Drosophila melanogaster: one gene and its partners. The protein of the gene in region 2 purifies or fractionates together with the protein of the main gene of each other region. This does not show direct contact. Each region holds a gene or a part of one and is shown on either strand. Other genes may lie near its edges. The genes, in order: sick, clu and tobi.

What was found.
Region 1: the proteins of clu (region 2) and sick purify together in Drosophila melanogaster (affinity purification with mass spectrometry, with the first as the bait; one large-scale study listed by BioGRID). This does not show direct contact.
Region 3: the proteins of clu (region 2) and tobi purify together in Drosophila melanogaster (affinity purification with mass spectrometry, with the first as the bait; one large-scale study listed by BioGRID). This does not show direct contact.

Annotation. Positions count from the first base shown.
Region 1 is NT_033779.5:19,824,436-19,828,189, reverse strand, and holds the start of sick (sickie), read right to left. Parts: upstream 1,717-3,754; 5' UTR 917-1,716; coding exon 1-916.
Region 2 is NT_033778.4:16,184,872-16,188,625, reverse strand, and holds the start of clu (clueless), read right to left. Parts: upstream 2,043-3,754; 5' UTR 1,704-2,042; coding exon 1,490-1,703; intron 738-1,489; exon of another isoform or gene 472-737; intron 49-471; coding exon 1-48. Other genes in the region: CG8441 (uncharacterized protein), read left to right, coding at 2,641-2,814, 2,875-3,462. UniProt on the Drosophila melanogaster protein: mRNA-binding protein involved in proper cytoplasmic distribution of mitochondria.
Region 3 is NT_033777.3:25,344,719-25,348,472, forward strand, and holds tobi (target of brain insulin), read right to left. Parts: upstream 2,204-3,754; 5' UTR 2,169-2,203; coding exon 395-2,168; intron 338-394; coding exon 138-337; 3' UTR 43-137; downstream 1-42. Other genes in the region: Fur1 (furin 1), read right to left, coding at 2,885-3,621.

The DNA of each region.
Region 1 (3,754 bases), on a different chromosome or scaffold from region 2:
TCGGTTCTGCTTCTGATTCCGCTTCTGGCATAGCTGAAGTCTCTATGATAATAGTCTCCTCCAACTCGAGCTCCTCGTTATCGTATATTACTTCTGGCACCAGTTCATCTTCATCCTCGCAGACCAAGTGCTGTCTTGAGCTGAAAAGGGGATCCCTCAATCCGTGGGCTTGAGTACTGGGATATCTCATGGCTTTCTCGTTGATAAAGTCCACGGGATCAAAGAGACAGTAGTTCTCCATGTGCGAGGTGGCAGCCTTGCGCTGTCTCACTGGTAGATTCCTTAGCTTTTCGGAGTAATCCGCCACATCTTCATTATTATTGGCTGATTCTGGAGCTGGAGGAGGCGGGGATATCTCCTGACTGATGGGCCTTTCCTCCTGCTGCTGCAGCGACTTCTGTGAGCCCCTATGAAGGGTGGCAAACAGGCCACGAGCTATGCAGTTCTTCAGCTCACTCACACGTCCTTTGTAGGGACTCGACTGGGCACTGCTGCTCAGGATCGAGGATTCGTCGATTCCCAGCTGCTTGCTGAGCTCCTTGCGCTCCTTCTTGCTGAGCACCACCTTGCCACGACTGGGCGTATTGGGGGCCGAGTGGAGCAGCCTCGATGGCATTTGGGAGAGGGGCGGTGGTGTGGGAGGCAGCGGATCCCTGTACGGTGGTGGACCCACCAAACAGGTGGCATAGCTAACTGGTAAGTCCGGATAGGCCGTACTCTGCGCCGATGCCGTGGGATCCGTGGCAAGGAACTCCAGTTCCATGTAGTTGGGATGTGGCAACATCTTCGGTTGATTCTGATGATGATTGTCCGTTCTTTGGCTCTTGGGCTTGGCGCCCAGTTGGTTCTCCTCATTCGCATTGCGATCGGGCTTGGTTGAGGAACCCGGACGCAGTTTTCCTGCCTGACTGGACATTTCTAGGGTTTCACTGCAGCTTCCATGGGCTCAGCACTTTTCACTCACACACTCACTCACAAATTTTGTATACATTTTTTCGCCGCTTGGGCCAAATTAATGGCTTTATAAATCTTCATCTTTATGGAGGGCAAAAACGCGTTAATGGGTTTTCTAGTCTTTCGACCAAAAAAAATAAGGTCCTTTTTCCATGTCCTCTCTCTCTCTCTCTCTACTATCTCTGTTTACATTTGTGTTTGTAATTGGATTTTTTAGCTGATGCATGTCAAAGTTAAATTAAAACTGACCCAGCTGGTCGGGGGAAAAAAAAGAGTTATACGTTTCTAGGTTGTTTTTGCGGGCAAAGAGTCATAGTCATGGTCATGGTTACGCCGTGGTTTCGTCTGCTTTTGAAGTGTTCCAGAATGCCGCCGAAACAATGCCAAAGTCGAGCTTTTTATAATTTGTCTACAAAGCAATTAACAGGAAGCCAACGCTGCAGGGATTGCGATAAATGGTGAACAATAATACAATTAAAGTACTGCACATGCGGTTTTAACTTGAATTTGTGCATTGAAGCCGCAGAGGTGGATACATATATATTTGCAACTTAAATGCTTTAAATTGAAAAAACCGAAAAGCATTCACATACATTTTTCTTCAGCTTCCGGCAAACAGCACAGGTATTATTTTGTTCGTGCAATTTTCGAATAAAAGCGATTGTGCGATAGAAGCTGGAAGGGAAATTCAATACGAAAATGCATATCAAGTGCTCGCTAGAGTTTCACATTTGATTAAGTTTCATTTCTCCTTCAGTTTCCCCCCGGTCGCAAAAATGCAGACATAACGGAGATATCAATAACAAATTGACAGCAAATGGATCCATGAATTTATTAAGTGGAAAGCGAAGTGAACAAAGGAATGGTTCATCACTCACGTACAGGTATCTTTTCCATTACACTTGCTGAGATTCGTAGAGTAAATGTGAGTAATCCAAATAGATATAACAAATAATGAACAATGCCAAAGAACAGCATGTTCGCCAAATCGAGATTATCCCAGCATTGTTTCCACTCGGAAAACCAGCAATGAACTTTTAATTTCCTTTATTTCAGCCCACTCACAAAACAAAACTATGACGAACATTTTTCGCCAGGCCAACGTGGCAACAACTGAGAGGAAACCGAAATGGAAAAAGTTTTATTGGCAACAAATTGAAAACCGCCTGGCCATTTGAGTCAGTGAACCAACAAGTTGCATAATTGTTGGCGCATGATAGAATTAAACGCCTCGCAATGAGCCGATGTTCCAATGGCTCCTCTTCTTCTTCCTCTTCATCCTGCTACTTCCGTTTCCGGAAATGGCAGGCTGCAGGTGGCAGAGGCGAAAGAAGTTACTCCAGTTAAGTGGAGTTTCTCTGCCGGTGTCTGTGCCTGCGTCCCATAAAGTATACTGAAAGTAATTTGCAATTAAAATGTTAATTTTTAATTGAATTGCAGATGGCAGTAGGCAATGGCAGTAGTCTCGAATACTGAATCAAGTTAATTAGTGTCAAAGTAGGCAGCTGAAAAGGGGAGGGCTGTTGGGCAGCACTCAAGCCCAAGGTTGATTTATCCAGATTAGCAAAGTATGCTAATGAAATGGTGATAAATGCAAATAATATAAAATTCCAGTTTGACTTACTTCCCAGATTAAATGCAATTGGTAATCCATCTTCTAGGAACAACACAGTTTTTCTTTACATCACCATTACGATTGTAGTTAAAGAAGCAGAAATGTTAAAATCTATTCTACAAATGTGCTCTAATCAGTTGAATCTATACTTTTATAACTGGGCAGTACACGTATTAAATGTTTAACTCCTATAAGGCCACACAATCCTTGTCTGCGTCCATTCCCCTGGGCTTAAAATCCCCCTGAAAGCCACGTGGATAGTGGCTCTCTACTCCAGCATCACCTAATCCCTGACACTTTCAGTTTCCATGACGATTCCGTGAAATGGGGACGAAATGGGGGCAAAAAGGAAAAAAATGAAAGGACCCCGAAGAGAAAGGCAGAAGGCAGGACTTAAAGTTAAACACTTTTGCTTTGAGGTTGAAGTTGCTCGCACTTCATCTGCCTTTGCTTCCAGCTGGCAGCAGTCAAAGTTGACAAAATACTTGTCAAGATTTGCGCATTGAGTTGAGTCCTCCTCTTCCAACTTGTAATTGCAGTTTTGCCGTGGTCTCTTTCAGCTCTGCAGCTCTGAAAAAAAGAACAGATTTCCACCCACTGGGAAAACCCGACGTTTTGCCGGAGGCCATCAAGCCGCAAACTTTACGAGTTGATAGCTGAAATAAAGTGGAGCATGCATTCCGTGCCTTTTAGCCCGCCCACCCACTTCATGACATCATTTTATTTGCACTCAATCTGAGTTCTTTTAGCGCCGCTTTCTGCGCCCAACACGCTGTGCAAACTTCGCTGGCAAGTTGGTTAGAAATGCTTTTGATTTGCTAGTGAGTTGACCAGAATCCCAGCCCCTCGACTCGCTTTCCACACAAAAGCCCACTTTTGAAAAGTGCACGCTTTTCTTTCCATCCTTCAGTTGCTCTTATTGCACCAAAAAGCCCAACCAGAACCCAAAACGTTATTCAAACAAAGAAGAGAAGTATAAGTATGCTGAGGTTTGCCAGAAAAAACTCATAAGTACGCCTTTTGTGTGACTTCTAGATACTCTATCCACTAGATTTCATTTGAAAATTGCATCAAAACAAATATATTTGGCGAAAATTCTAACAAACATTGAGAGAATTTTAAAGGGTAGGTATAAATTCATATAATTCAGTAAATTCTTGGCCAAACTCCATATGGAAATTTTAA
Region 2 (3,754 bases):
CGGCTTCGGTTGTGGGTTCAGTTGGGCTTTTGTTGCGGTTCTTCTTGCCTACATGGGGCGATGAAGAAGTAATTTGTTGTTAGTCAATATTGGGAAAGGCATATGGAGCATTGTGTAACCTATTCGATGTATAGGGAGAAACGTGAACTTTGGACCGACTTTTGTTTCCATGTCTCTCAGAAGAATCTTGTATAAATCCGTTATTTATTTATTATGGTTCATTAGTATGTTTTTAAAAACAAAAGATTATTCTTAGGAATTTAAATTTCCAAGCAATGCTGCCAAGTTTATGTTAGAATTTAATGTTTACCATTCTTAATTTATAAATAGTGGTTTATATCTAGTTTAATAATTAAACCTTGATATTATTTGAAAAATGGTGACAGAATTAAAGGTAATGCAAATACGTTACACGTTTCTTTTCTAAAATTGTCTGGCAATATATAATAATTTAAAAAGAGGTGTCTCTACCTCCAGGCTCCGATTTTTACATAACAATACTGTCCGCACACTTTTGTCGCTCAGTTTGTCTGTGTTCGCCGGCAAGCTGTGTGCTTGCATATACATATAAAGGCATATGTACATACATTTACAACAAAACAGTAGAAAAACAAACAGAAAGAGAAAAGCGAGCTGATAAGGCCAAAGGGGCCGGGTTCGTTCGGAGTCCGTACGAACGAACAGTCCACCGAATAATCCAATCTCCTTTCGATCTCTCAGGAAAACGGAATGGGTTTAACACGACCATGCTAATTTCAACAGCCGTATACTAAATTACAGCACTGTGAGATACATAGAGATAGAGCTAGGGAGAGAGAATGAGAGAGGCAAAGAGAGTGGGGAGAGGAGAAAGCAAAAGTGATAAGTACAATGTTCATTAACCGCAAGGAATTCGGAGAGAAGGAGACAAAGTGTAGAGCGATGCGTCTACGGATAGAAAACATGATTTACATAATTGTCGAACAATTTGCGTGTGTTAAGTGCATGCATTTCGGGCCGCGCACGTGTTAATTGTAGGTTAAACGCAACAAGAAATCCGCCCGGGGGGTTAATGAACATTTCGTCGCCGTTGCCGGGTTAATAACATGTGCGTTGCCATGCCAAGAGGAAGAGAAAGAGCGAGAGAGATAGGGAGCCTCACACTTGCAGTTCTCACACACGCACTTAACTCCAATAATACACACACACACATTTACGATTGCAATTGTAACCCACGCGGTTTATGGAGAGAGGGGGAGAGGGAAGGCTCGTAAAAGGGGGTGGAGGGGCAGCCATAGACAACGGGCGCCGCTTTTAAGGCATTATAGGGAAGAAAAAGCCCATTACGTAATGTTAAAAATGTTATGTGATTGGCTTTTGTGGCAAATAATATATTGAGGCAGTTTCCAAGGCAGCAAAGCTAAGAGGAGGTGGTGATGGGTTGGTGTGTGGGTGGGTGGGTGGTTGATTGGTTGGTTGAACATGGGCGTAGGCGGAAAGTTAAACGCACCTTTCTTCTTCGCAGCCGGCCCGTCGGCAGCCGTGCCATTGCCATTGACCAAGTTCTGATTCGAATTCTGCTGATTCGAATTCGGATTCAGGTTCTTTTTGCCGCCGGCCGTGTTGTTGTTCTCCTTGGCCTTGCCGCTGGCCTTTGTTGCTGTTGCTGTTGCATCGCCCGTGGCCGTTGCATTTGAATTCTTCGCCTCCGTTTCAAGCGCCATGCTTTTGTTTCACCTGCTCGCCAAAAACTCAACAAAACCAGCGGAGGAGACACAGAGTTCTAGTTCACGTTTCTTTTTTTTTTGGGCCCGTCCGTCCGTGTTACACAACTCTAACCGCTCGCCGAGCTCGGGGTGATTTCGGTTCGATTTTCAGTGTCTTTCTGGTCGATTGCGAACGTGATTGTTGTTTGGTTAACGATCTCGTACGCATCTATGACAAGTGGGTCTTTGCTAGTTCTGTTCTTTTCAGCACATTACTTATCGAGGATATAAATCGGCCGATTCGCTAGAAAATAACGCGTTATGTTGTTAACGGCTGAGAGTGTGACCACCGGGTGAACATTTAAATATACCGCTGGCATTGGCTTGGTTGCAGTATTTTAATTAGTATTTAGTTATTTGCTGTGTATAATTGCAGATGGACAACAACTAGTGATAGGGATGCACACGCAAAAACGATACCAATATATATGATTGCATTTATTTTAACAACAATTGTGTTCTGTTTAATAAAAGGTAATTTATGCACAATACAAACTTATTTTTATTTAAAACAAATTTTTAAGCCTTTTTATAAAGTGCGTCATATTAGCGTCGTTGAGGAACAGTGAAATTTGTAACATGGGTAGGTTTTTTTTATTTTATTTGAAGGTGAATTTCTATTCAACAATTTTTAAAAATTAATTAATGTAAAGGGCCTGTTTTAAGGATGGGTTGGTTCATAGCTGGACCTACTGTTATGAAATTATCTCAAAAATTGAAATTTTCCTGAAATTCCACCGTTCCGCCATCGCCGCTAACTTATCGACTCTAATTTGACGCATACAATTTTACAGATCAAGCATAGTCCCCGTTAAGTTTTTTTTTTAATTCGGTGTGTATTTTTTACGACTTGTAATACAGCCACACATAAAATACTGTTTTTAACCAAACAAACATGTCGCTTATAAAGAATTTGGTAAAAGAGCCCGAACAGAAGGCAAAGAAAAAGAAAAAGAATGCGGGATCTGGAGAAAGCGATTCCGATGAGAAGGACAAGCCTCTGCGGCCGTTCATCAAAACCGCGACAGATCTACAGAGGCTGAAGCTGGAGAAGCTCATGAAGAATCCGGTATGTGTTTGCATTGGAAAGCTGGGTGGACATTCATATTAATAAACCTTTTATTGCCAGGATAAGCCCGTGGTCATACCGGAGCAGCGTCGCGAACGGGACTTCATGTCCTCGGTGCCCACGTTCGTGCGGAATGTGATGGGAAGCAGTGCTGGAGCGGGTTCCGGCGAGTTCCATGTGTACCGCCACTTGCGACGCAAGGAGTACGCCCGCCAGAAGAACATCCAGAACCAGAGTGCCCGCGAAGCAGCAGATGAAGCTTACCAGCAGAAGTTGGACGACAACAGACGCGCGGCCGAAGAAAAGACTGCTAAGAAACGAGCCAAACGGTTGAAGAGAAAACAGAGGGCGAAAAAGCCGAGAGAGGACAAGAAGCCACTGGCTAAGGAAGCCTCAGAGGATAGTAACACAGATTCCGAGGAAGAGCCCACAGAAGAAAAGGCAGAAAGTAGCCCTGAGGAAGGACAACAGGTGGCATCCAAGGAATCCGACGACAATAACACCCAAGAAACTTCGAATGAAGAGGCAGTGAATTCAAATACAGAAGCGAAAAGCGCAGAGGACACAAATGCAGTGGAATTAGATAGCACCGAAGCTACAAAGGAATCCCAAAATGTGGATCAAGAACAAGACAAGCCTGTGCCTTAGTACCTCCTGTTCTATTCCTATCAATAAACCGTTTAGAGTAATAAAACACAGTGCGGTTTTATTTATAGTACTTTTGTAATATATATATATTAAGCGATTTCTATACATCGCCAGTATCTAGGGGTTTTCATCTGAGGCCATCTTTCTAAAGCAGCTTGGTTGAGAAGAAAGCGTTTTGCGAATTATGCATTGAGTTGTCGTGGCTTTAGTGCGCATTTTGTTTTTTGTTGTCTTACATTTATAAGGTGCATCAAATGTTGCATTTTTGAGTATAATAAATGCTTTCAAAATT
Region 3 (3,754 bases), on a different chromosome or scaffold from region 2:
ATACGATCCATTCGATTTTACCAAATTAACTGTGTGAACATTGTTATAATTATTTAACTTTATTAAGTTTGTTCGTCTTCTGTTTTTTTTTTAAATATACACGCTAGGAAGTTTAGATATATAAAACGGTTTCCGCTCTACTCCAGTGTGAATCCCACGCGCAAAAAGTAGGGTAGGGTATCCAAGGGAGCGGCGTAGTCCATCACCCAGGTGGGTCCAGTGTACACCTGGTCGCTGTTTCCATCCTGCCACTCGCCCTCTGGCAGGTAAATGTCTCGCTTGGTGGCGCCCTCGACCACAACGGGAGCAGCGATGATGTCTTCGCCCAAAAGGAACTCTGCGAGATATAAACCAGTTATAGCTGCTAAAATTTTAAGTTAAGTGACAGGATTACCATCATAGATAGACTGCGCCACCTCATCAGTCGGGGCGATCCACCAGAGGGGAACATTCACAGGTTCACCAGAATCCACAGCGCGCTTAAAGAGCTTCATAATGTAAGGTGTATAGGTGGCATGGAGGGCGGTGAAGTTCTTGCTGATCGCAATGGCCTCGTCGTCAAAGTTCCAGGGAACGAAGGAGAACTGCAGGGCGGGCATAAAGACGTTGGCCTGCAGCCAACGGAGGAAAAGCTCCTTGGTTGGTGGCTTTTCGTAGTAGCCATTACCACCAATCATATCGGGAAGGACGAAAGGATAACCGTTGAGGTTCATTTGCAGCATCGAAGAGATCAGTGTGAGCAGGCCGTTGTTCCATCCCCATTCGGAGTCCTTGTCCACGATGCGCACGAAGATTGGCTGATCTTGAGTGTTCTGGGCTGATCGAACCTCCACCATGTCTCCGAATGCCGCTACAGTACGCACGTAGTCGCCCACCGCCTGCAGTGGTGTCACCATGGAACTGCTAGCCTGGAGTACAGGATCACTGGGTAGCCAACTGGTCTCTCCGGCATCAAACTTGAAGCTATCAATGCCATCCTCATCCTGAAGGCGCTTTAAACGCTTGCTGAACCACTCCTGAACCTCAGTTTTGGTAAAGTCCAAAATGGCTGCATCCTTGGGCTTGCTGTTCCACCATTGCGTGTCGGAGCTTCCCTCGTGATCGAGCACCAGGTAACCCTTAGACTTAGCTTCATCGTAAATGGCTGTGCAGTTGTTGTTAATGAATGGATGAATCCACAGGGTCACACGGAAACCCAAGGCCTTGAGGTCATCAGTCAGGGTCTTGCTATCGGGGAACTTGTTCTTCCTGAAGGTCATGGCTCCATAGCAATCCTCCCAATCATCGTCGATTTCCAGCTGGCTGTTGTTGAACCCATTATCCAGAATCTGCTTGGCGAAGTCACGAACCACATCGTCGGATACCTCAGCCTTGTAGAGAGCCCATGTGGACCACACAGGATGCATGACCATTCGCTCATCGGGATAGCCTGTGGGTTGGCCGAGGAACGTTTTAACGGCATACCGGTGCGCCGCCTTGGCATCCTTGGCCACAGCTACGTGGTAAACGAATTTGGCAGAGGTCACCCGAGGATCATAGGGTAGAGCACTAATAGCACTCAGACACAGCTGGTCAGGATAGGCAGCACTATTCTGATCAATAAACAGAGGAGTGTTGCTCTCCACGTACAAAAAGACTCCGTCGCCGTTCAACCAATATCGCTCACCCACACCAAAGTTATCCAGCTCCTTTGGCAGGTAGGAATAGTTACTATGCCTCTGTCGCTCCACTGGCCAGTAGTGTTGCTTCTGCTCCGGACCACTGAACCAGTGCGTCGATCCGGTCTTCAGGGGGACGCAATCCCTGGGTTGGGTGCCTTGCAGCACCTGATCTCGGGATACTTTCACATGGGTTATCTCACTGCCTGTGCCGGCAACCACTCCGCTTTTGACCAGGGTGAACTCCACGGTGGATTGGCCATCGGTAAGCTGGTAGCTACCACTGCTCGTCTCCACCAGATTGGCGCTGCTGTCAAAGTTGTCGAAGGTCACCGTCTGCAGGGACTTCTCGCCCTTCATTAGCTCATACTGCAACTTATCACCTCTCCTAAGTCGCACGTAGACATTGCTATTGGGAAACTTGTAGCGCTGCTCGATGCTGGCACAAGTGTGAACCGCCTCCCAGAGGCAGAAGGATGCCAACAGCAGGGATAGTAAAATAAACCTCATTTTCGTGCCTTTCTCACAACACGACTGCCGGTCATGCACGGGCTGATCTACCTAATATAGTCGCGATAAGAAAATCGATGCGACTTCGTTGGGGCTTCGGTCAGCGTATTATACAAATAAAACTCTTGAGCGATGTCAACACAATTCTCACCTGGGGAGAACACTTCAGACAGCTCCGTGATAACCTGTCTGATAAGCGGGGTCCCACCTGAATTTCTTTATTTTCCATTAGCTAATTGATTGTTGTTACCGCTGAGATTGCAGTTCACCTACATACACAGTCATCAATAAAAAAATATAAGCCTATCTCAACAAGTGACTTCTTAAAGTCAAGGACGGCTTCAGAAGCAATCTGAAAAATCCTAATATCAAATGCAACAGTTTCTTATCAGTACATGAACATTTTGAGCATTTCCTCAAGTGTTATATCGCTAAATCGATGAATTATACCTCTTCAAGTAGTTTCAAGCAGTAGCAGCTAAGTTAAAATCATTTTATTAAGGCATAAATATTACAAATAATTAGTTTTGATTTTTTTTCTTTTACATTTAATACTTTAATCTATTTTGGCTTGAAATAAAGGAGCTGTAATGCCGTCGAATGTAACAAAATATAGACCAAAAATGCGTTTGTCGGTCGCTTAACATATAGATATATTTCTGGTGGTTATGAGGATGGCTAAATGCATGACCTAACTAATAACTTGTTTTGATTATTTAGGGTACCAAGTGGCTGATCTCATCTTCCTCGAATATCTTTTCGCTGGGCGCTTCATCGCGATATATATTAACACCACTCTTTCTCGCTGGGAAGTGGGCCGTAAACAGTTCATCCTCGTCAGAGTCACTTTCGTCACCCGGAACTAGGGAAACTCGGGAGTATAGTTCGTTGGATCGAGCCATTGCCCTTCGATGATACACGATGCCACCGGCCACTGCTACGCCCATCAGGGTGAAAATCACCGAAACCAAAAGGAGCACAGTTGTGCCAGTCATATATTGCTGGGTATCTCTATCGTCCATTTTGGATATGTCCACCACACTGGCCATTCCCGTGCTACGCACCACATAGGCATAGCAGAAGGTCTCGTTCAGGATCTTACGCAGTTGGCTGCCCGGGGAGCAGGTGCTGCACTGGGAGGCCAGGGCACCGTAGCACTCCAAGCAGCTCCGATCGCAGGCGGCACAGACCCGAGAAGGCACCTCCACCAGTTGGGTGAGTGAACTACGACGACGTCGATCCTCCGCCTGCAGAGGATCTTGCTTGTCATCCAAGCTGTTGGACATCAACAGGGAATGATCCATGGGGGAGCTGCTGTAGGGATTAACCGGACCCCTTGTCACCTCGTCATCCTGCTCATCCTCCTCTGCTTGGAACTTGTCCAATGGATATGTGTGCACCGGGCAGACATCGTAGCACTGGTCCTCGAACATATAGGCGGAGTCATTGCACTCTGTTGAAATTTAGAGAAGGTTGATGTTAAATATTTACTTTTGATCCAAAGTGGCAAGGAAGTGATTTACCTCAGCGACAGATTTTGCGAAAAGGAATGTTTGGAAAATAGTTGGTTAGAAAGTTGTTACAAA